Arabidopsis thaliana: one gene and its partners. The protein of the gene in region 1 interacts with the protein of each later gene in a pairwise test. Each region holds a gene or a part of one and is shown on either strand. Other genes may lie near its edges.

Region 1 (8,645 bases):
TCATATTACACGTGAATCTCCCAGATCGAGATTTTGCTACAAGAATCAAGAAATATTATGTAGGGATTCGTTGTGGAACGAGAGAAAGTGTGTTTTGTTTGCTTAACTTTAAATCTCAGTTTTCTTATAAACTTTTTATAGCCGTCTTTTATGCAAAACCCCTTGAGTTTTTCATGCCTTAACTTGTGAATCGTGATAGAGTAAGAAGATTATGGATATTGTTAAGTGTTAATTAAGATCAATTTCATCTTCTACGAGATGGTATTCCTGTACGTTTTCCAATCAAATAACTTCATTTTACCATTGTTATTATTTAAGAATATGTATATATATAAGAAAGTGAGTTCGATATTTTCATTTGTATGTATATAATGTAAAAGATTATACAATAAGACAATAATAAAGAGATTAAGGAATCATTTACGTGTTAATCACACTTGACTTGAGAAACTCTTTTAAATTGAAGTCCTCCTATAGACCCGTCGCCGTTATCTTGGCGCCATTTACGTACCCTCCTTTTTTCTAAATCATAATCCCCAAAATCCCTAACCTAACTAAACTAAATACTACCTAACTAACTACCCTATTATCAAGATTTAAGACATTGTTTATCTATCCCCTAATCGTACGTATTACGCAATGCCACTATCTAAAATACACTTCATTACAGTTTACTGTGGTAAAAAAGATAAGTATCAAACATCAAAACTACCAAGAAATTACCAATTTGTGTCGGTGAACTCATATAGACAAACCTATGTGGTAATCAAACTATTAGTTAAAAAAAAATTGAACATATTAAGAAGATTACAGAATAATACATGTAATCCTCCACTTGTCAGTTCTATAAAATATTAATTAAAAAGGAAATTCAAATTGAAGTAACTAAGAACAGTTTTTTTAGCAGTTAAGCTGAATTTCAAAAAGCCATAATCTTCGCTCTGAATCTCATCAGCCCCGGTCTCCTTCTCTAGCTATATATATACGTGTGTGATAAAGTCGTACCCTCAAGCCAACACAATAACAAGAATGGCTTCTCCTTTCTTCTTTGTGTTCCTTCTCTCTGCGCTTTCACTGGAGAATACCTATGCAAGTCCCAATTACAGAGAAGCACTCTCAAAGTCATTACTCTTTTTCCAAGGTCAGCGGTCTGGTCGCCTCCCTAGTGACCAACAACTCTCATGGAGGTCTAGCTCTGGCCTCTCTGATGGCTCATCTGCTCACGTAAGACCCTAAAACTGTATACCCATAGTCAAGTAGTAAAAGCATAGTAAATCCATCTGAATAACACGGTATGAGTTGCAGGTGGACTTGACCGGAGGCTACTATGATGCTGGGGACAATGTGAAGTTCAATTTCCCGATGGCGTTCACCACAACCATGCTTTCCTGGAGCTCTTTGGAGTACGGTAAGAAGATGGGACCCGAGCTCCAGAACTCCCGTGTGGCCATCCGTTGGGCCACGGATTATCTACTGAAATGTGCCAGGGCTACACCAGGGAAGCTTTACGTTGGAGTAGGAGATCCTAATGGTGACCACAAGTGCTGGGAACGACCAGAAGATATGGACACTCCTCGCACAGTCTACTCTGTATCTCCCTCAAACCCTGGCTCTGATGTAGCCGCTGAAACCGCTGCTGCTCTAGCTGCAAGCTCCATGGTTTTCAGGAAAGTAGATCCCAAGTACTCTCGCTTGCTCTTGGCGACAGCAAAGAAGGTCATGCAGTTTGCCATTCAATACCGAGGCGCTTACAGTAATTCCCTTTCCTCTTCCGTCTGTCCGTTCTACTGCTCCTACTCTGGCTACAAGGTAGAGATTCATATGTTTACATTGTTCCAAAACTGAGAAAGACATATCAATGAATCGTTGAAAACTTAACTACTCTTATGATATCAGGACGAGCTACTATGGGGAGCAGCATGGCTACATAGAGCAACCAACGACCCGTATTACACAAACTTCATAAAATCCTTAGGAGGAGGAGATCAGCCTGACATCTTCAGTTGGGACAATAAATACGCCGGTGCCTATGTTCTTCTCTCACGAGTATGTCTCAATCCTTAAAATTCCTAGACATAACTTAACCATTTCCTTCAATGATTTACAAACACATTTCTTTCGCAGCGAGCAGTACTAAACAAAGACAACAACTTTGAACTCTACAAGCAAGCAGCTGAGAATTTCATGTGTAAGATCCTTCCAAATTCTCCATCCTCGTCAACAAAGTACACTAAAGGTAAACTCAACACAGAGTTCTCTCCAAAAGCATTTCAATTACTCAAATACTAAAAGCTATAACTTTCAGGTGGACTGATGTACAAACTACCTCAGAGCAATCTACAATACGTGACATCAATAACATTCTTGCTCACCACCTACGCCAAATATATGAAATCCACAAAACAAACTTTCAACTGCGGAAACTCACTAATCGTCCCCAACGCACTGATAAATCTATCGAAGCGACAAGTCGATTACGTCCTCGGTGTGAATCCAATGAAGATGTCGTACATGGTTGGATTCAGCTCCAATTTCCCCAAAAGAATCCATCACAGAGGTTCCTCTCTCCCGAGCCGAGCCGTCCGTTCCAATTCTCTGGGCTGTAACGGCGGATTCCAATCATTCAGAACACAAAACCCTAACCCTAACATATTAACCGGAGCAATTGTCGGAGGACCGAATCAAAACGATGAGTATCCAGACCAGAGAGACGATTACACCCGATCAGAGCCAGCTACATACATCAACGCCGCATTCGTCGGACCATTGGCGTATTTCGCCGCCAGCCGATCGCCGTAAATCGCCACTCACTTTAAAGTTGGTTGCTTTGATTTGAAAAGTTGGTTAGATAAATCGGTTAGTCTAAAACCCTTACCGCGTAATGGGTAAGGCTATTTCAGATGTAAACTCTAATGGGCTTTTAGGTCCATCATTAATGAACTAATTAGAAACGCCCATCTTTGGCTCTTAAGTGGTTACGGAACTGAACAGAGGGATTAATCTTATGTGGTGTAATTAACCCTTTTTCGAGACGACTAATGATTCGAAACTAAGTGACACCATCAATATCAACTTGGCAATGGTCGAACTTATATAGCGAGTTTTACGCCATGCTTCCAATAAAACTACCATCACAGTGACAATGTTGTTTCCTGAATATGTAACTTTCGGATTATTGGCTAAATAAATCACTACGAAGACTTTTTCATTTGGTTCATCGATGATATAATAAGATGAAGAATGATTTTGTCCAGTAGATGAGTTAACTAAACCGAAAAGATTATAAAACAATATATTGAAGTATAAAACGACGTATAAGAAGAAGGATTGAAAATCGCCAGCTGTGAAGGGAACACAATCGAAAGCTGGCTTTCACGTTAACGTGCCGCACAAATCACAGCTCATCATCTTCCTTCTTTCTCTTTTTTCCACTTACCTTTTTGTCGTTTTCCCTGTCCGAAATTAAAGTGTTTTATTTTGTCGAGGCATATAGTCCCAATAATCAGTTCACAATTTTATTAAGAAGTTGACATTCTATAGACCTTTTTTGTTTAAATATTTATATATAGACCTTTTTATTAGTCTTCAAAACTTGCTTCAAAATAGTAACCCAAAACTCAAAAGAGAACTCTAGGCTTAACATCATTGTCCAATTCTAAATTGTGTTGTTATAACTAACTCATCAACACTTCTAATTAATTTTATGAAATCCATTAAAGTTACGAGTTCAACATACATGTATGGAAAACGATAAACACAGAGCACAAAATTTCGGAAATTGTAACTTTCCGTAAAAAGGAATAAACCTAAACTAAAATAAAATCAATCAATCAATAAAATTGCCGAAATTTGTAAACCCTGGACCAATCCATCTTCTTCTTCTTCTTCTTCGCCTCTCTCTCTAATCAAAATTTTTGTCAATTTGAAGTCTCTTTGACTCTTCTTTCACCGCCGCAGTTAAAAACCTCGTGTGATTCTTCTTCTTCATATAGATTCCCAGAAACATCGAAACTGGTGAACCGTGTACGCTTCGTCGTTAGTGATGCGGAGACGAAAGATATCGCCGGAAAATCATTGGCCTAGATTCAATCCATTAGAGACTCATCGGAGACGTCTACGTTAGCGTACCCAATCCTCCTCCTCTTCTGGGTTGTTTGCTGATCACACATATCTTCTTTCTTCGATTCTCTCTCAGGTGATTCTTTCTTTCTCCGATCACTTTTCCGGTCTATTGTGTAATCCACGCACCAAAAAATCAGATCTTGGAACTCAAATTCCTTATTTGCAGCTTGAGTTTATTAAAAGTCTTTGTCTTTCTGGGTTTATACTATAAGTTGATTAACTTTGACATCTAATGTGTATTTGCTGGTAACAGGGCGTGTCCTGTGTAATCGTTTAGTGGATGTGCAATGCAAAGGTCGTGTAGAACTAGAAGAAGAGTTTCTGTGAACAAGTTTAATGGAAGGAACAGCTTTTACAAAGTCTCTTTGTCTCTTGTTTTTCTCCTTTGGGTTCTTCTCTTCTTTTCCACCTTGTTGATTAGTCATGGAGATGGTGCCAAAGGTAACCTTCAAGTTCTTTTCTTTGGTGGACATCATTGTCGTTTTATTACCTTAAAGCATGTTAAGAACCAACTCTTGTGTACTTGTAGATGAGCCTTTGAACGACTCTATGGGAATGGCTGATCCGGATGATGGTCAGTCAGATGAGAAAGTTGTGCCCTTTGATGGACCATTATCCTTAGCGTCTGCTTCTGTTGATGTTACGTCTGATTTGAGTCGGAATGATGATGTAAACCTGTCTGAAGAAAGTGAAGACAAAGAACAGGAAGCAGAGATCAGTAGCACAGTTTCAGGGAATGATATTGAAAGCAAGGACACTTACCTTTTGAAGCAAAGTGAGATAAATAAGAAAGATACAGGGATTGATGCAGGAAGCAAATATGATGACTTTCCCAAGAAAAGTGAGATTAACAATACAGGTACGTGGAATGATACAGAAGGCAAAGACGATAATAACTTTTTGAAGCAAAGTCAATTGAACAAGACAGGCACAGGGAATGATACAGAAAGCAGTGACAATGAGTTCTTGGAGCAAAATCAGATGAACAAAACAGTTTTAGGGAATGGTACCGAGATCAACGTTTCAAAGGTTGATCAACCATCTCGTGCGGTTCCGCTTGGCCTTGATGAGTTCAAGAGCAGAGCGTCCAATTCTCGAAACAAATCGTTATCAGATCAGGTCAGTGGTGTGATTCACAGGATGGAGCCTGGAGGGAAAGAGTACAATTATGCATCTGCTTCAAAAGGCGCAAAGGTCTTGTCTTCCAACAAGGAAGCAAAGGGGGCTGCAAGCATCCTAAGCAGGGACAATGACAAGTACCTCAGAAATCCTTGTTCTACTGAAGGTAAATTTGTTGTTGTAGAACTTTCAGAAGAAACTTTGGTAAATACCATCAAGATCGCGAATTTTGAGCATTACTCTTCCAATCTGAAAGAGTTTGAGCTTCAAGGCACCCTAGTTTATCCCACTGATACCTGGGTTCATATGGGAAACTTCACGGCTTCAAACGTGAAGCATGAGCAGAACTTCACACTTCTTGAGCCAAAGTGGGTGAGATACTTAAAGCTAAACTTTATTAGTCATTATGGTTCAGAATTCTACTGCACCTTGAGTTTAATAGAAGTCTACGGTGTGGATGCCGTAGAACGAATGCTGGAGGATTTGATATCTGTCCAGGACAACAAAAATGCATACAAACCCCGAGAAGGAGATTCTGAGCATAAGGAGAAGCCAATGCAGCAAATAGAGTCACTTGAAGGCGATGATGGTGCTGATAAGAGCACGCACAGAGAGAAAGAGAAGGAAGCCCCACCAGAGAATATGTTAGCGAAGACTGAAGCATCAATGGCGAAGAGTAGTAATAAGCTGTCAGAGCCCGTGGAAGAGATGAGGCATCATCAGCCAGGGAGCAGAATGCCAGGGGACACAGTACTGAAGATACTGATGCAGAAGTTAAGGTCATTGGACTTGAACCTATCGATTCTAGAGAGATACTTAGAGGAACTGAACCTGAGATACGGGAACATATTCAAGGAGATGGACCGTGAAGCCGGTGTGAGAGAAAAGGCGATTGTGGCTTTGAGACTTGACTTGGAAGGTATGAAGGAAAGGCAAGAGGGGATGGTGAGTGAAGCAGAGGAGATGAAAGAGTGGCGAAAGAGAGTGGAGGCAGAGATGGAGAAAGCAGAGAAAGAGAAGGAAAACATAAGACAGAGTCTTGAGCAAGTAAGTAAAAGACTTGAGTGGATGGAGAAGAAATGCTTAACGGTTTTCACCGTATGTCTAGGGTTTGGCATTATTGCGGTTATTGCAGTTGTGATTGGTATGGGAACTGGTCTAGCAGAGAAGACCGGTAGTGGGGCTTGGCTCTTGTTATTGATTAGCTCAACATTCATTATGTTCGTTTTGTCTCTTTGATGAGAGTTTTGGTCTTATTTTTACACTGTAGAGTCATGTTACCAATGGATGAAATATACCTTGTTTTTCAATAACCGGCACACATACATATACTTAGCAATTTTCTCAATAATCTAATGCCTAATTTGTAACATAGATTGTATTCGATACAATGAAGTCTTCTTATATAGTCTATAGAAAAATTGAAAAAAATGGGCATAATTCTTTTGCGGACGTAAGTAAAAGTGAAAGTAAGTGCGTTGAGTGGATATAGTAGGTGAGTGGGTACAAGGGACCCGTGAGTACTACAACTTTCAACGAGGCTTCATTTTCTTAAATAACAGAGGAGCTGGTCTTCGTTATATATTGAATTTGTGGGAGACTTTGATCGACAACTTATTTTAAGCAATGGCTACAAAAGCATCAAATTTAGTTGTTTTTCTTCTCTCTTTGCTTCTTCTGTTCTTATTGATATCCTTTCAAGTTGGAGTCGCCGACGCCACACGCAACAAACGTTAGTACATATTCGATCTTTTTCTTTCCTATATATTGGTTTTTCTGAAAGAAGAAGCTTACATATCCAATGACTTTCTATCAGTCTCTCATCTTTATATCTTCATCATTTTCTTCTTATGTAAAACTGTGAAGATTAATCTGTTTTTTCCTCATGAAAAATCTTTGTCTGGATTTGTAGATGTATTGTTTTTAGATCATGTTTCATTATATAATCATATGTTAAAGAAAAGTTAAAAGTTATGTTTTATGTGAAGAAGAAATCATATGTAGATAGTTAAAAGCTTATGGTGAATGACATATATATTGTTAATAAGCAGGTCAAGGACAAGAACAGCGTGTGGATTATGATTACCCTCGCCCTCCCACCGCCCCTATATATCTGCCGCCGTCTAAATCGCGCAAAGGAAAAGGTCCATAAGCCAAAGTACTTTTTGACAAGTGATGGAGAAGAAACTATAATTGTCAAGACTCAAGAGACTCGAGATTAATGTTGTATTGTGATTTCATATAATTACGTTTTCGATCATATCACTTTTTAAGATATTTTAACGGTATTTGGTTATATATATATGTTGTCGGTTCTAGTGGTTTGGCCATGTATTTATCATAGCTAATTTTCCACTACTTTCAGTGGCTAAATCACCATTGCAGTTGAAAGTTATAAATCTGTTGCCAATTAACCTTAAACAATTGTGGCTAAATCAGTTGTCATAATCACGAAGAAATGTTATGACTATGTCGTGTTTTAGTACTGGTCAGAGATGACTACGGATTGAACTTAATCACTGTCATTGTTTTCGTAACAATTTGTGACAAAACCACGAAAAAATTGTACTCACAGATAAATATTTGGCTATATGACAAAAATATATATCCTATATGGTTTGTATAGTTGTCTAAAATTCAACCTAAGTAGGTGGAAGAAATAAATTTAAACAGAACAGGACGTGAGCCAAGAGACTTTCGTATGGAAAATTAAAGGCGCGTTGAATAGAAATGTAGTTGGCGACTAGTACATTTCAGCGATGCTTATCCTTTAGCCTTTTACATTTCAAGGAAGCTTTTATTATATAAATCATCCTGAAGCTAGTCTTTGTTATGAAATTGAGAGAGAGTAGAACACTAAATTAGCAAAATGGCTGCAAAAACATCAAATTTAGTTGCTCTTCTTCTCTCTTTGTTTCTTCTGCTTCTATCTATCTCCTCACAAGTTGGACTAGGCGAGGCCAAACGCAACCTACGTTAGTATTTTTTACACTCATTTTCATGCTTATAATATAGGTCTCGTCTCGTCTATATACATATTGTTATATAACTTATATTTGTATTCACCTTCTTTGTTATTATATTTATAGATTTTTTTTGTTTGGAGAAACTAATCATACAATGTGGTGCAGGTAACAATTTGCGTTTGGATTGCGTTTCCCATCCCTCTCCTCCTCCTCCTCATCGTTCCATGGCCCCTCCAATTTTTGTACCGCCTTCTACATCACACAAAGGACAAGGCCCATAAACAAAATCATACAAGTAACCGAGAAGAAGTGATCAAAATTTCATACCAAAAAAAGAAGTGATCAAGATTCCATATAGAGAAAAGAGTATTGTGTAAGAAGAAGGGTCAAGATTTTTCTTTTATTGGGTCAAGCTTTTACAAGTTGACTATTATAAAT
Region 2 (6,854 bases), on another chromosome or scaffold:
ATGGAAGTGACCCTCAATGTTCTTGTTTATGCTCAAACCAAACCGGGATCATCCATGGTGTCTAGTAAGGTTAAATGCCTAGCAAGCTCATGCTAAGCAACAAAATGTGATCATTATTAATGATGAATCAAAGACTGGAAAGGTAAAGAAATGTGATCATTTAGTCCTTATAAATTATAACTAGAACCATTCTTTGTTCTTCGTTTTTTCCCAAATACATGACTCAGTACGCCTTTCTAAGCCTTTTCTTTTTATATAGGAACAACAAGAGAAACCACATCACTCTCTAATTCCGGGTCAAGGGTTTGATCAAGAATGCGCGTTTCCTGGTGGGTTTTGACTTTGGGAGTGTTAAATATCAAGAGAGATTCAAGCAAAGAGAGGTACATTTTATCTTTTAATTTGCTAATACTCAAAGACCACCACACAAGTGATGAAATCAACCATTTACATTATTAGCTAACCAATGGAGAAGCAAAAGACTTTTAGGGCAATGAGAATTTCTAGTCATAGAGCCTACACAGAGAACAGAAACAGAGTAATACAAAGCACAAGTTTGTTCTTTAAAATAGTAACTGACAATTACAACACAATTATTAACAAAGAGACACACAAATGTACAAAGCAACCAAATGATCTTTAACACCCCATTTAAACAACACACAAACAAACAGCATAAAGTTGCACAAAAGCCACTTATGAAGGAGGTGGTGCTTTGTTCTGGTTATTTTTGTACCAAAACCACGACGCAAGAACAACTGCCAGAGTACCTATGAACCATTCAGGAGTCTGGAAAAACTTCTGATCAGGGAGATACTTAGGGGCAATGAAGAAACTAAAGATCAAGTTGATGGTTATAGCCAAGAAAGCAACTCCTATAGCTGACCAACTGTTGTCAGTTGGTATGTTTAGCTGTTTCTTAACCTCCTTAACAATATCCAAAACAAAATCGGTATCGTGTCTGCAAAAAAAAAAATTATAACATGAGTTAGAGAAAGAAGAAGATGATGCAAGTAGGTTTTTACTTTTTTTTGGTTATATCAATAATACAAGAATCATCAAGAAAACTCGAGCGGTCAAGTTTCGGCATATATCGCTCGGTCAAGTGGGTTGGTGCCTTGGTGGATTTGCGGAAAACTCCTTACCAAAGAGATCTACTAATCAAAGATCAGTCGGGCATAGATCCAAACATAATCAAGAATACATGTATTTTGAAGTATTACTTGTACTTTGAGTTTGACCGGGAAAACCCTATTCTTTTTGTCACAGATCTCAGGGCACGCTCCCAACCCTCGACCCTCTCAGGCTCCCCTGCATGGTTTTGCTTCAGTTGCTTAAAAGGAAGGGAAAACTCTCCATCAAGATTGCCTTCTCCATCGGGATTGGCTGCTCTTTTTACATCGTCCGATCTTACGTTATAGAAGATTGGAATCACCACGAGTTTCTTTTCCTTCATCTGTTCATTCATCGTCACAAGCTCATCCAAACACCACTTTGACTCACAGTACCTCTTGGAGAAGATAGCAAGCGCGATTTTTGACTTCTTGATCCTTGTGAAGAGATATTGTAGTCTTCTCCCTTTCTGCTCTTTAGTGTCTATGAAGACGTTGATCCCTGCGTTTCTTAATTGCAGCTCTAGATGGTTGACAAAGATTTCGCGCAGCTCATCTCCTCGGAAGTTGATAAACACCTGATCAGAAAGAGGTTCTTGGACCTGCTCATCCATTGGAATGGTGTCTAGGTTCGTCTGAATAAAAAATAGTGAATATAGTTGGTGAGAGACTTTGTTGTCTCACTTTGTCCTTTAAAATACATTACAGAGAAACGATTCTTTAATTCTTCAGACCAATCAGTGGCTCGATGCCAAGTCTGCGCCTATCCTCAGTCTTTCTTTAATATTATACAACATTATTGTCTCAATGGATCCAAATACTCTAAATCCTGGGTCATGGGTCGGGTAAATAATGTTTTTGAAGACAAACTATAAAGAGTGAAACAACTAAACAGAGATGTAATCTATAGCCAAACAGTGCAAAACTGTTAAGTTTCCAATATCGATACCTCCGATTCCTTAACCAAACCAGTACACACTAACACACCATACACGAGAGAGACTAGCACATCACTAGGTCAGCTCTCAGTACACCATATGAGAGAGACTAGCACATCACTAGCTCAACTCTCAAGTCTCTCATGCAAGACTCACACAATTCAACAACAATCAACAATAAGCATAGATTCTCTAAATCGATATCTCTCCTTATTTATACTCCCAAGCCTGCAACCGCAAACCCTTTGTCATGCCCAGAGACTTTGCTTTCCTTCCCAGCTCATCACACAGTCAACACACACAGTCAACGGTGTTGACTGCCTCTGCTTCTTTCTTTTCTTTACTTGCTTCTCCAATCGTATCAAAAGCCATTTGACCACAAGTTGGTGATTAATCAAGAGGTCATCATCTGTTTGGTTGGGTCCGTAGACAGTAAAGCTGGTGCAAGATACCAGCCAAAACTGGAAACCCTAGTAAACACTTAACAGCTTTATTAACTTTCACATCAGTGCATAGTAAACGAGCTACAATGAGACTACAGATAAAAACCGCAGCTGAAGCCAAAACAAACACTTGTCCTTTAGTAATATTTTGTCTTTCAGAGTCCATTAGCTCGCTCTTAACCGCCGTGACGATTGCCCTCACAAGACCTAAACCCGTTCTGCAAACATATGTCAGGAAGAAACCGTTAAATGAGCTCAAATAAGTAGTCTTCCTAAGAACAAATTAACAAGAATTGACTAAAAAAAAAATTCATAGAAAATTCAAAACAGTTTGTGTTTTCACTACTTATAAATTTCATCAAAAGAATAATTACCCGTGGTCTTCGGAGGTTAAGCCGGTCCGCTCTACTATTGAACTCAATGAATCCTCCCACTTCAAGATCTTGAGTGGATCGTTTGCGTATTTCTCCCTCAGTTCCTCGAAATGATTACCGAATTCATCCTCGAGGTTCTTTACACCGCTTATGCTCACATCATAGAAGACAGGTATCACCTTAAGGTTGCTTTGTTCTACGTGCTCGTACATCTTTTGAAGCTCGTTCAAGCACATCTCTGACTCTGTATACCTCTTGGAGAAGATGACGACCGCGATATTCGACTCCTCGATCTTTGTGGAAATATTTCGTATGTCTCTCCTATTTGCTTCTGCTCTGTCTACGAAAACGTTGACTCTCTCGTCTCTCAATCCCCACACAAGATATTTGATGAAATTGTCGCGCGATTCGTTTCCATAGAAACTAATGAATACTTGAGGAGGACGTTGGTACGGTGGTGGTTCTGCCATGGGAGGGTTGAGAGTTGAGACTTTCTTGCTTTAATTTTTCTTCATGAATATATGGAGAAGAAGAAGCTGGAAAAGTAAAAGATTCATTTCTTGTTTTGGACCAATTCATTTCAAAAGTCAAAGCATTTATTTCTTTTTTAGGAAAAATTCATTTCAAAAGTCAACTCTTGGCAACTGTCTTCTTTATTATTTTTTATGGAAAAATTGGAAATATAGGACAAATATTTAGATATTTGTTCATCTATATTCAATGAACAAATGTAAACTATCCTTAAACTATTCTTGTATTAGATATTTAGATTTAACTACTTTTTTTTCAAAAAAAGGTCATAATAATTCATAAGAAATTGTTGAGTGTCCCTAAAAACACGAGATGTCTAATGAAGTCATCAAGCAGCTCGGTAGTCGTGGTCGTGCTGGATCCATTATTGAGCTTTGGTCAAGCACGACCACGACTACCGAGCTGCTTGATGACTTCATTAGACATCTCGTGTTTTTAGGGACACTCAACAACTTCATATGAATTATTCTGACCTTTTTTTGAGCTTTGGTCAAGCGAAGAGACTATGTGTTTCTTTGGGTTTTAACTGTTTGGAATAGAGAAGCGGAGACTTTGGGAACTTTTTGCACAAGAAAAATAAAGCAAAAGAGTGAAAAGTGGTTACTTTGAAAGAAACATTTATCTTTAGATTTGTATTTTTTCTTCTATTTCAAGATCATAACCAAATAAAACATGTGGAAGTCTCATTGATCTAGTAGTTGACCAAAAGTCTTAGGTGGTAGGTTATAAAGGAGATAGTGTTATTAATCGTAATCACTTTTATCAATAATTGATGCAAGGTCAAACTAATCGAAATCAAATTATTTCATAGAAAAAAATATCGAATGCAACAATGTGTAACCAAAATGAAACTCTCAGTCTCAGATTCTTTGCGTTTACGTATTCTCATAGAAACGCAAACGTTACCATTCACCACTCACTTTCCACAGCTCGATTGATTATCAAACGACCCACAAGAAAAGAGAAAAAAGTGAGAAGGCCTAAAACATAAGGACCAAAAACTATTGTAAAAAGAAGAAACAGACTTAGGAACCGGACAACAAGTCTAATCAATTCATCTGTTCTTGCCGCCAAATGGTTGCGCTTCTCTTCAGCAATTTGTCGTTCGATCTCGGCGATATCGTTTAGAACTTTCTTAACCTCCTCGACGATTGTGTTGACCAAATCATTCTGGCGACTGTCATAACAGAGTTCAAAAGATCTGTCAGTGAACAAGCTTATGTCCTGAACTAACCAAGAACAGAGTCAAGAAACAGAGTATTCCAAGTTTCCAACAAAGAACATAAGCAAAGGGACAAAGTCCAGACCTGTATCGTGACGAAGACAAGCCAGTTTTCTTAGAAACATACAGTATAGCATCTTTCCATCTCCGATAAGTTTCAGGCTCGCCGCGATGCGTTAACTTCAGGTCCCGGAAGTTGTCTCCAAAATTCCCCTTCAGTTTCTTCACATCGTCTGTTTTCATCTTAAAGAAGATAGGAATCACTGTAAGACTTTCTTGATCCACACATTCTTTGATCTTAGCAAGCTCATCTAAGCACCATCTTGAGTTGGTGAAGTTCTTGGAGAAGATTGTCAATGCGACTCTCGATTCCTCGATCCTACTGAAGAGATGATCAAGATCTCTGCCTCTAAGCTCATGATCATCTATAAAAACGTTGACATTCTCTTTTAAAAGAGCATCCACAAGAAACCCTAGGAACCCATCACGAAGTTTTTCGCCTCGGAAGTTGATGAACACTTGATACTGAGGCGGGATCGGTCCAACGTCGGTAAAGAGGGAGAAGGAGGCGCCCATGGAAGGTAATGGTTTTTGAGGAAACTATTTGCTGAGGAAAAACAAGAAGTATTTTTTTCTGTAAGAACGTTTGATTCAATGGTTTCATTGTGTTTTACTTAATCATAATTGATTCCATTATTAATCATTGATCTACAAAGAAGATTAGAATAGTTGACCGGATTTGAGTGAGCCTTAAATTAATCCATATAATCTTAACTGCAAAACTGGGTAGTTGGTTACACAATCAAAAAACAAAACAAAAACTAGACAAAGAGACACAGTAGTAATCCATGTCAATACAATAAAATATCATACAACTAAAACAAGAAAATCAAATAACCACTTAGCATTCTTAAAATGTCTCATATAACCAATTGCGAGGCAACAAAACTTGCTAATCACTGATCATGTATGTGAAGCTCTTTCTTAACCGCTTTTAACTCTCCACGAAAACACCAAAACCCGTTACGCAATATGCATCAGAGAAACCAACGAGACCGGGCCAACAGAAGTATATAGTACTCTTCTCGGTTATAAGACAATAAATTAATTTAATGTTCTCATAGCTAGCTGCTAGTTAGACAAAAATAATCACATATATATCAACTATAAAAATCATCAAGAAATCAATTAATACCCCACCTGTATAGTTAGACTTTACTTATATCCACACACAGATCACAAGTCATAATGGCATTCATAAGATATAAAAAAAATCATTGAGACCATCTCAATGTAATTCTAAAATAGAGCATGATTTCTTTCCAATGTATCACTCTAAAATAGAGGCAGTGTAAATAAAATAGAGTTACTATATATCTAGAACAATCCTACCATTTACTATATTTTAGAGTAACATATAGAGAGAAGTTGAAGCCAATGTATTCTAAAATAGAGTTTTAGAGAAAAAATAGAGTAGGGTTAGAGATGCTGCAAAAAACGCATTAGACAAGTGAGCCCCACTCTTGATCATTTTGCTTATGATACAATTATTCTAGCTAGGGATCATCCATGCGATTTAAAATTAAGATCAAAGACACGAAATAGTGTAAGGTACTCTAGTAACATAACACAAACAATAAAACCGAATTGGCTTTTAATGTTTCTTTACCTAAGACTTTTAAACCCTTTTAATCACATATACCGAAAAATTTGGGACCTAATTAAACCCCAAGTTTCCATCATTCATGAAGTATCACGAAATATTATCTCTGACTTTCTGAGGTGTGGGCGGTTATGTTTGCAGTCAATCTTCACTAGTTCCTCCAAGCACTATTTGACTTTGGGAACCTCTTGGAGAAGATCAAACCCGAAATTTCGAGTACATAAATTTTTTCAAGAGGTGTTGTAACTTGTAAGTTTCCCCTGTTCCGCTTGAAGCCATCTATACAGACATTGACCCCTCGAAATCTAAAGTTGGCGATAGAACGGTGGTTGGTCACTGGTCGGAGGTACCTTGCGGAAGACGTTAACACACAAAAATGCCCTGGGATTTAGAACGCATTAAATCTTTGTTAAAATATTTGTTTTAAAAAAATAGTTGAGTAGTATGCATATGTGTCCCGGGTAAAGCCGGCTATTTTCTTAATTAACTTCACGGAACTTAAGGGACACTAGTCAATCCATTGCCGGTGGCTATAGATATTCTGCAGCTCGGCCGTGTCTTGCCAATGCCC
Region 3 (7,985 bases), on another chromosome or scaffold:
TTTTCTCCTTGGCTCTTGTTTTGTGTATCAAAGCCTTCGTGTTGTTGATGCTCAAGAAGATCCAAAACCAGCCGTGACTTTGCAAGTAGATGCTTCTAATGGAGGTGGACGACCCATTCCTGAAACGCTATTTGGGATTTTCTTCGAGGTTTGTTAATGTTACGGTCTCAAATAGATCTTTGCAATGTACGCAATGTGTTCAAATCAATCATAAACTTTATATGCTCTATGTTCATTATAGGAGATCAACCATGCTGGTGCCGGTGGATTATGGGCCGAACTTGTTAGCAACAGAGGTTAGTTTTTTTTAGCTTGTTACTACTGAAATCCATGGGAATCAATCGTTGTTTGGCTTCATTTTCTTTCTTTACATGATGAGAAAAAATGTGGTAGTAACTTTTAAGGAAAAACTTTGGTTTCCAGGGTTTGAAGCTGGTGGGCAAAACACACCCTCTAATATTTGGCCATGGTCCATTGTTGGTGATCATTCATCCATATATGTAGCTACAGACCGTTCATCATGTTTTGAACGGAATAAAATCGCACTGAGAATGGATGTGCTTTGTGATAGCAAAGGTTGTCCATCGGGAGGTGTCGGAGTTTATAACCCTGGTTACTGGGGCATGGTGAGTGTCAAATTGTGAACACTTTACAGCTCGGTTTTTTGTTTCCCTCGGTGTCAAGAGCATGGGTTTAGCTGTTTATTCATTTTCTATCTTCTGTTAGAATATTGAAGAAGGAAAGAAGTACAAGGTGGCTCTTTATGTGCGTTCGACTGGTGATATCGATTTGTCTGTGTCGTTGACGAGCTCGAATGGATCACGGACTCTTGCTTCTGAAAAGATCATGTGAGAAATAATTTCAGATTCTTCAGTTAAGTCTGAATATGTTTATTTTGCTGTTTCAGTGTGTGAAAGTTTCAATTGTATGCTTTCATTTGTTTCAATGTAGAGCTTCTGCTTCTGATGTTTCGAAATGGATTAAAAAAGAGGTTCTTTTGGAGGCAAAAGCGACCGATCCTAGTGCAAGACTTCAGTTAACAACAACCAAGAAAGGGTCAATATGGATTGACCAAGTCTCGGCCATGCCAGTGGATACTCACAAGGTTCTTTTTTCGCTCTCTCTGATTCCCTGTAGAGCCTTGAGATGGAAGATTACAGATTGCTAATAGAGAAAATATTGGAAGAAGAACTCTATCAAATACTCGATCTTTTTGGTTGATTGCAGGGACATGGTTTTAGAAACGATCTTTTCCAAATGATGGCCGATATAAAACCCCGTTTCATCCGGTTCCCAGGTACGTATTATTTAAGGCTAGTAGCATTTTTGTTACTTATTCTATCCATAGACGTACCTCTTAGTTCAATATGACAAAAAGCATGACTTAAGATGAAATAAGCTAAAGTCTATTCTTTACTCTGGATATTTGTGAATTTAGGTGGTTGTTTTGTCGAGGGTGAATGGTTAAGTAATGCCTTCCGCTGGAAAGAAACCGTAGGACCTTGGGAAGAGAGACCGGGCCATTTTGGTGATGTTTGGAAGTATTGGACCGATGATGGCCTTGGCCACTTTGAGTTCTTTCAAGTGAGACTTCTTCTTTTCTATTGAGTACATAATGATCCCCGAAGCTCGTTATTGAATATTAAATGAACATTCTTGCAGATGGCAGAAGACATCGGTGCAGCCCCGATATGGGTGTTTAACAACGGTATTCTTTCACTCTCCAAAAACTTAGTTGTAACTGACTTATATCATTTTGTCTTCCAATTCTGTCAACCTTATTTTTTACTTTGTGCAGGGATAAGTCACAATGATGAAGTTGAAACTGCCAGTATCATGCCCTTTGTTCAAGTATGATTACTAAACCTTCCTCTGTTTCACTAGTGAAGAAGCCGGAAAACCAAAACTTTCTCCTCTTTTTGTTTCAGGAAGCACTCGACGGTATCGAGTTTGCCCGAGGAGATGCCAATTCTACTTGGGGATCTGTTCGAGCTAAAATGGGACGCCAAGAACCTTTTGAACTTAAATACGTTGCTATTGGAAATGAAGATTGTGGGAAAACTTACTACAGAGGTTTTGCATTTCTCTATGATCACATCTTGACTTAGATTTTTGTTGAGCATCTTTGACACTAAATGAGATTACAACTTTACAGGAAACTACATTGTGTTCTATGATGCTATCAAGAAAGCCTATCCAGATATCAAAATCATCTCCAACTGCGATGGATCCTCTCATCCACTCGACCACCCAGCTGATTACTATGACTATCACGTAAAATTTTCTATCTTGACAGAAACTGTAACCGTTGTCTTGTGTTCTCTCTTCCGCCTGAAAAAAGTGTTTCCTTTTTGTCACAGATTTACACTTCTGCTAGCAATTTGTTTTCCATGTATCATCAATTTGATCGCACTTCACGCAAAGGTCCAAAGGTGCGGTAATAGATTATAACAAAACTTAATTCCAACAAACACAAGATGAAGCTTTCAGCGTTTTACTCACTCGTGAACTTTGTTTACAGGCTTTTGTCAGTGAATATGCTGTTACTGGAAAAGATGCTGGTACAGGAAGCCTTCTTGCCTCTCTTGCAGAAGCTGCGTTTCTCATTGGTCTTGAAAAGAATAGGTTCCCTTTGAATTTCTCTTCCCAGGCTTTGATCTCAACTAAAAACATCAAATAAGTTAAACATCTTATGACTTTTTGCAGTGACATTGTTGAAATGGCAAGTTATGCTCCACTCTTTGTGAACACAAATGATAGACGGTATCTCTCACTTACTTTTCCGTTCGAATGGTTACTCAGGAAGATAAGGCAATAATCTCAAATTGTTAAATTGGTTTCAGGTGGAACCCTGATGCAATAGTCTTCAACTCCTCTCATCTATATGGAACACCTAGCTATTGGGTTCAACGGTTTTTTGCAGAGTCAAGCGGAGCAACTCTTCTCACTTCAACACTCAAGGGAAACTCTACTTCTCTTGTTGCATCTGCTATCTCTTGGAAAAACAATGGCAAAGATTACATACGCATAAAGGTAAACCGAGTGAAAGATTCAACCGGAGCTCTGATATTGACCCTAAAAAACTGTTTCAAAATCTGTTATTTGCAGGCTGTAAACTTCGGAGCTAACTCAGAAAATATGCAAGTGTTGGTAACTGGATTGGACCCGAACGTGATGAGAGTTTCGGGATCAAAGAAGACAGTACTTACCTCTACCAATGTGATGGATGAAAATTCCTTCTCACAGCCAGAGAAGGTAAAAATCAAGAGATGGAAGAAACATCATTATCATCACAAATTCTGAGTGTTCCCATGTTCTTATTGGTTTTTATTTGCAGGTTGTACCACATGAAAGCTTGCTAGAGTTGGCAGAGGAGGATATGACCGTTGTTCTCCCGCCACATTCCTTTTCTTCATTCGATTTGTTGAAGGAATCTGCAAAGATAAGAATGCCAATCTCTGATTCTTCTTCCCATCAGAAAACTACCACTGTGTGAAGAGAAACAATGACAAGGAAGTATCAACTTTCATGTCAAAAGTCTCTTTGTGGTTCAAATCTAATTACATTCCATAAATGCTTATAACGTACCCTTGTGTATATATAATAATAGTCTGGTGAATAAATTTACTTTCTTTAATCATGAGCTTATCTCGACTCTAGATATCTTGATATGCAAGAATGATGAAGCAACAGTTTCTTCTTAGCATAAAAGAAGATGACGAGGCGTGAAAGTGGGCTGGGCCATTTTATTTCCATTATTGGGCTTTTAAAAGCCCATCATAATGAATTTTGAAAAAAATGGAGGAGCATCAAAACAAATAAAAATGGCGAAACTGAAGAACACACGATTCAGATTTTCAAAATTGAATTTTGTAGTGATCTCTCTCCTATATAAACTTCCTCACTCTTCTTCCATTTCAAATCTCTCTCTCTGTAGTCAAAATTAGGGTTTATTTATTCATAAGGAAGAGCATTTCGAATTCTGTAGTTCAAAATTGAAGATCATGTCGGCGTCAACGGTGTCAATCACCGCTAGTCCTAGGACAATAAGGCGGACGCCGGTTCTCTCCGGTGAGAAGAAATCTAATTTTGATTTCCCGCCGAGCGAATCTCATGCCAATGCGGCAATTGGAGAGTCGTCTGCTGGTACGAACAAGGATCTGATTCGCGCCGAGGCTGCCGGTGAGAGATCCAACACCTACGACGTAGGTCCGGTGACAAGGAAATCAGGATCCACCGCGACGGGGACTAATACAACCACCACGCAGCGTCGGACGCGGAAGTCTCAGGGGAATAAGATAGATAGAGGGAAATGGAAGACAGTGGTTAGGGTATTCGCGAAGCAATTTGGGGCTCTTTTGTTACTTGTTGGATTGATTCAGTTGATTAGGAAATTGACTTTGAAGGATTCGTCTCTGTCTTCTTCGAATTTCCCAATTGAAACGGAAATGGTGCTTTCGGAATTGGAGAGTCGGATTTCTGCAGTTGATGGTTTGGTGAAGACTACGACGAAGATGATGCAGGTTCAAGTTGAGTTTCTTGATAAGAAGATGGATAGTGAATCAAGAGCATTGAGGCAGACGATAGATTCCACATCTTCTGTGTTACATAGTGAGTTGAAGAAGGTAGAGTCTAAGACAGAGAGGTTACAGGTTTCTGTAGATGAGTTAAATGCTAAACCTTTGGTGTCTAGAGAGGAGTTAGAGAGAGTTTACGAGGAGTTGAAGAAGGGTAAGGTCGGTGATTCTGATGTTAACATTGATAAACTGAGGGCTTATGCTCGTGACATAGTGGAGAAAGAGATAGGGAAACATGTTGCAGATGGCCTTGGTCGAGTAGATTATGCGTTAGCGTCTGGTGGAGCTTTTGTAATGGGGCATTCGGATCCGTTTCTTGTTGGAAATGGGCGTAATTGGTTTGGGACAAGCAGGAGACGGGTTCATAGCAAAGCGGTTAAGATGTTAACTCCGAGTTTCGGGGAGCCTGGACAGTGTTTTCCTCTGAAAGGAAGCAATGGATATGTTCTAGTCAGGCTAAGAGCACCAATAATTCCAGAAGCTGTTACTTTGGAACATGTCTCTAAGGTAGTACTAACATCTCAATACTAAACTTTCACAAAATGATTGATTTTTATATGTTAATTTGAGCCTTCAAGAAGGGTTCTCTGTTAAATGTTGTTGGTATTGAGATGCCCTGTACTTCGGATTGGATTGCTGGTGACAATAGGTTATCGAATAGAGGGCAAGAAACTAGTTTTGTGAATTTGAGTTCTTATAGTTTGAGGTTTAGTTTAGGCACTAGCTGTGACAATATGCATTGAGGAGGATTTTACCTATTGTTATTTTCTGCAAATCACTAGCTTTAGCAGTTCCTTTGTCTAATATCAATGCCACTGTGTTGTTGTGCTTTGTTTGGGACATCGTTGACAGAGAAAAGAACCGTATGTATGGGAAGAGCTTGTAAGTTTACAATTAGTGGAACTGTAATATTCACTGTTTACGGATATCCTTAGGAAACAGTAGCTGAAGGGAAATAGTCTCAAGAGTGTGTAATGTGATGGTCACACATTGCTTTCCATCATTGTTCATCCTTGTGATCATTTGTCTGATAAATTTCTTCTTGTCTGACCACTAAAAGGCAATACTAATCTTACGGTTATGTTATGCACCATTTAATCGAACAGGCTGTAGCATATGACAGATCGAGCGCCCCAAAGGATTGCCGTGTATCAGGATGGCTAGGTGACATAGATATGGAGACTGAGACAATGCCCCTTCTTACAGAATTCAGTTACGACTTAGACAGGTCCAATGCACAGACATTCGACATTGCAGACTCTGCTCACTCAGGACTTGTCAACACTGTCAGGCTAGACTTCAATTCCAACCATGGAAGCTCTTCACACACTTGCATCTACCGCTTCAGGGTTCATGGCCGTGAACTAGACTCAGTCTCTGTTGCTCATGCTTGATCTGAAAGTCCACGTCAAACTTTTCTTCTCTTTGTAACATTCCCTCTAATAGATATCTCTCTTCTTTTTTTGTGTTAGTTTATGTGGTGGGAAAGCTTCTCTTAGTCTGTAATCAGAATCATTTGGTTGTATTCGTGATTATTAGCTTCAAATCTGTTTTGGTTCGGTTTATTTGGTCAGGGTATGTATCCTCCGAATTGAATAATATAGATCTTAGTTTGATGTCCGGTTTTGGTTTTGTAACAGAGTTTCAATTTAAGCTTTCACCTAAAACAAATCATACAAATTCTAATAGAGTATACATATTTCATTAGTTGAAACAAATATTGAATTTGGATTATTAATGGTTACCTTGGGTACTTGGTATTACAACGATATGTGATGAATAGGAAGAGTGTGTATATAGATGGACCATAACTTGTTAGTGTGAATTGCGTAATCGACAAAGTGACGACTTCTTCTTCTAGGCTGCACCGTCTTGCCTTGTCTAAAAGCTTCCCAACACATCACATGCAAAATCTACGGTCAAATAATAGATATGAAACCCTCTTCCAAGTCAACACAGCTTGTTTGATTATAAATTAAATTAAATACAAATTCATCTTTGACATGTCTGATTAATGTTAATTTTTTACAGTGTCAACTGGCATAACAAATTGAGCTAAACAAAATTAAGCTCTAAAAATAGCCATTTTTTACGGTTAAATCACATGAAGAAACCTTTCCTAACCAAGTCAACCCATGTTTGGTCGTCGTGACGGTGGACCACCGGCTCCAAAAAAACTCTTCATTTGACCAAAACGAGTATAACCCTTAATTATTAGACCAACATGCATTACATAAATGATAAATTCAGTTTCCCTCGAGCCCATGCATTCATTAAATAGCAGAAAGCTCCTCGTATAGTCTATATATATAGCAGATTTTAGATCCAAAATAACAAACACCATCAATACACAAACAAAACAAAAAGGATGAAAATGCAAACACTAAACTTCACTTCTTCTCTCTTGTTCTTGTCTTTTATCTTCCTCTCATGTGCTCTGCTTATCTCATCACAACAATCTCCATCACAGCCACATTCTGAGCCTCCGTCACAGCTACCTTTTGAGCCTCCGGTAGAGTCACCATTCTTCCCTCCGTCACAGCCACCAATATTCGTGCCACCGTCACAGCCACCTTCTTTGCCTCCGTCACAGTCTCAGTCACCTTCTCTCGCTTGCAAGTCAACTCCATACCCTAAGCTTTGCCGTACGATCCTCAACGCTGTCAAATCCTCACCGTCAGATCCTTACCGTTACGGCAAATTCACTATAAAGCAATGCCTCAAGCAAGCAAGCCGTCTATCCAAAGTCATCACCAGTTACGCGCGGCGCGTGGAAAGCAAACCAGGCTCGGCCACGGCCGAGGAAATAGGGGCGGTGGCGGACTGCGGCGAGTTATCGGAGCTGAGTGTGAACTACCTTGAAACCGTCACGACGGAGCTTAAGACGGCGCAGGTGATGACGGCAGCTCTCGTCGAGCATGTGAACAGTCTTCTCAGTGGTGTAGTGACGAATCAGCAGACGTGTCTTGACGGACTCGTGGAGGCTAAGAGTGGTTTCGCCGCCGCGATTGGTTCGCCGATGGGGAATCTCACTCGCCTTTACAGTATCTCGTTAGGACTTGTGAGCCACGCACTTAACCGTAACCTGAAGAGGTTTAAAGCCTCCAAAGGGAAGATTCTTGGTGGTGGGAACTCAACCTATCGCGAACCGCTCGAGACTTTGATTAAGGTAATTAATTAAAACTTGTTTCTAATTCTTTTCTTTTTTCGTTTTTGTTTGTTTGTTTATACTAGCTTTTATACATTCCTTTACATATTATTATAAAGTTGTTAATAATCTAGTTGTAAAGACATTACATATTTTTGAAATGGTTGGCATAGAGATATAAGAATAGGAATTTGGGGAAATACCAAAAACATTATATATATATATATATATATATGCCTTCTTATCATAAATCCTTAGAA

The links.
Region 2: the proteins of AT1G22882 (region 1) and AT5G44920 interact in a protein complementation assay, tested with the Arabidopsis thaliana proteins (one study listed by BioGRID).
Region 3: the proteins of AT1G22882 (region 1) and SUN2 interact in a protein complementation assay, tested with the Arabidopsis thaliana proteins (one study listed by BioGRID).

The regions. Positions count from the first base shown.
Region 1 is NC_003070.9:8,094,741-8,103,385, forward strand, and holds AT1G22882 (Galactose-binding protein), read left to right. Parts: upstream 1-3,651; 5' UTR 3,652-4,195; intron 4,196-4,375; 5' UTR 4,376-4,409; coding exon 4,410-4,563; intron 4,564-4,651; coding exon 4,652-6,480; 3' UTR 6,481-6,724; downstream 6,725-8,645. Other genes in the region: CEL5 (cellulase 5), read left to right, coding at 1,030-1,224, 1,306-1,809, 1,897-2,046, 2,125-2,236, 2,306-2,799; AT1G22885 (uncharacterized protein), read left to right, coding at 6,868-6,973, 7,290-7,393; AT1G22890 (uncharacterized protein), read left to right, coding at 8,111-8,216, 8,373-8,488.
Region 2 is NC_003076.8:18,133,837-18,140,690, reverse strand, and holds AT5G44920 (Toll-Interleukin-Resistance (TIR) domain family protein), read right to left. Parts: upstream 1,917-6,854; 5' UTR 1,727-1,916; coding exon 1,224-1,726; intron 962-1,223; coding exon 697-961; 3' UTR 501-696; downstream 1-500. Other genes in the region: ARAD2 (Exostosin family protein), read left to right, coding at 1-65; AT5G44910 (Toll-Interleukin-Resistance (TIR) domain family protein), read right to left, coding at 2,456-2,711, 2,868-3,337; AT5G44900 (Toll-Interleukin-Resistance (TIR) domain family protein), read right to left, coding at 4,308-4,575, 4,706-5,196. UniProt on the Arabidopsis thaliana protein: Could play a role in nuclear morphology, specifically nuclear size.
Region 3 is NC_003074.8:3,356,542-3,364,526, reverse strand, and holds SUN2 (SAD1/UNC-84 domain protein 2), read left to right. Parts: upstream 1-3,824; 5' UTR 3,825-4,004; coding exon 4,005-5,084; intron 5,085-5,683; coding exon 5,684-5,971; 3' UTR 5,972-6,239; downstream 6,240-7,985. Other genes in the region: ASD1 (alpha-L-arabinofuranosidase 1), read left to right, coding at 1-148, 242-296, 424-626, 727-848, 952-1,105, 1,228-1,297, 1,439-1,584, 1,663-1,708 and 9 more; AT3G10720 (Plant invertase/pectin methylesterase inhibitor superfamily), read left to right, coding at 6,946-7,746. UniProt on the Arabidopsis thaliana protein: Component of SUN-protein-containing multivariate complexes also called LINC complexes which link the nucleoskeleton and cytoskeleton by providing versatile outer nuclear membrane attachment sites for cytoskeletal filaments.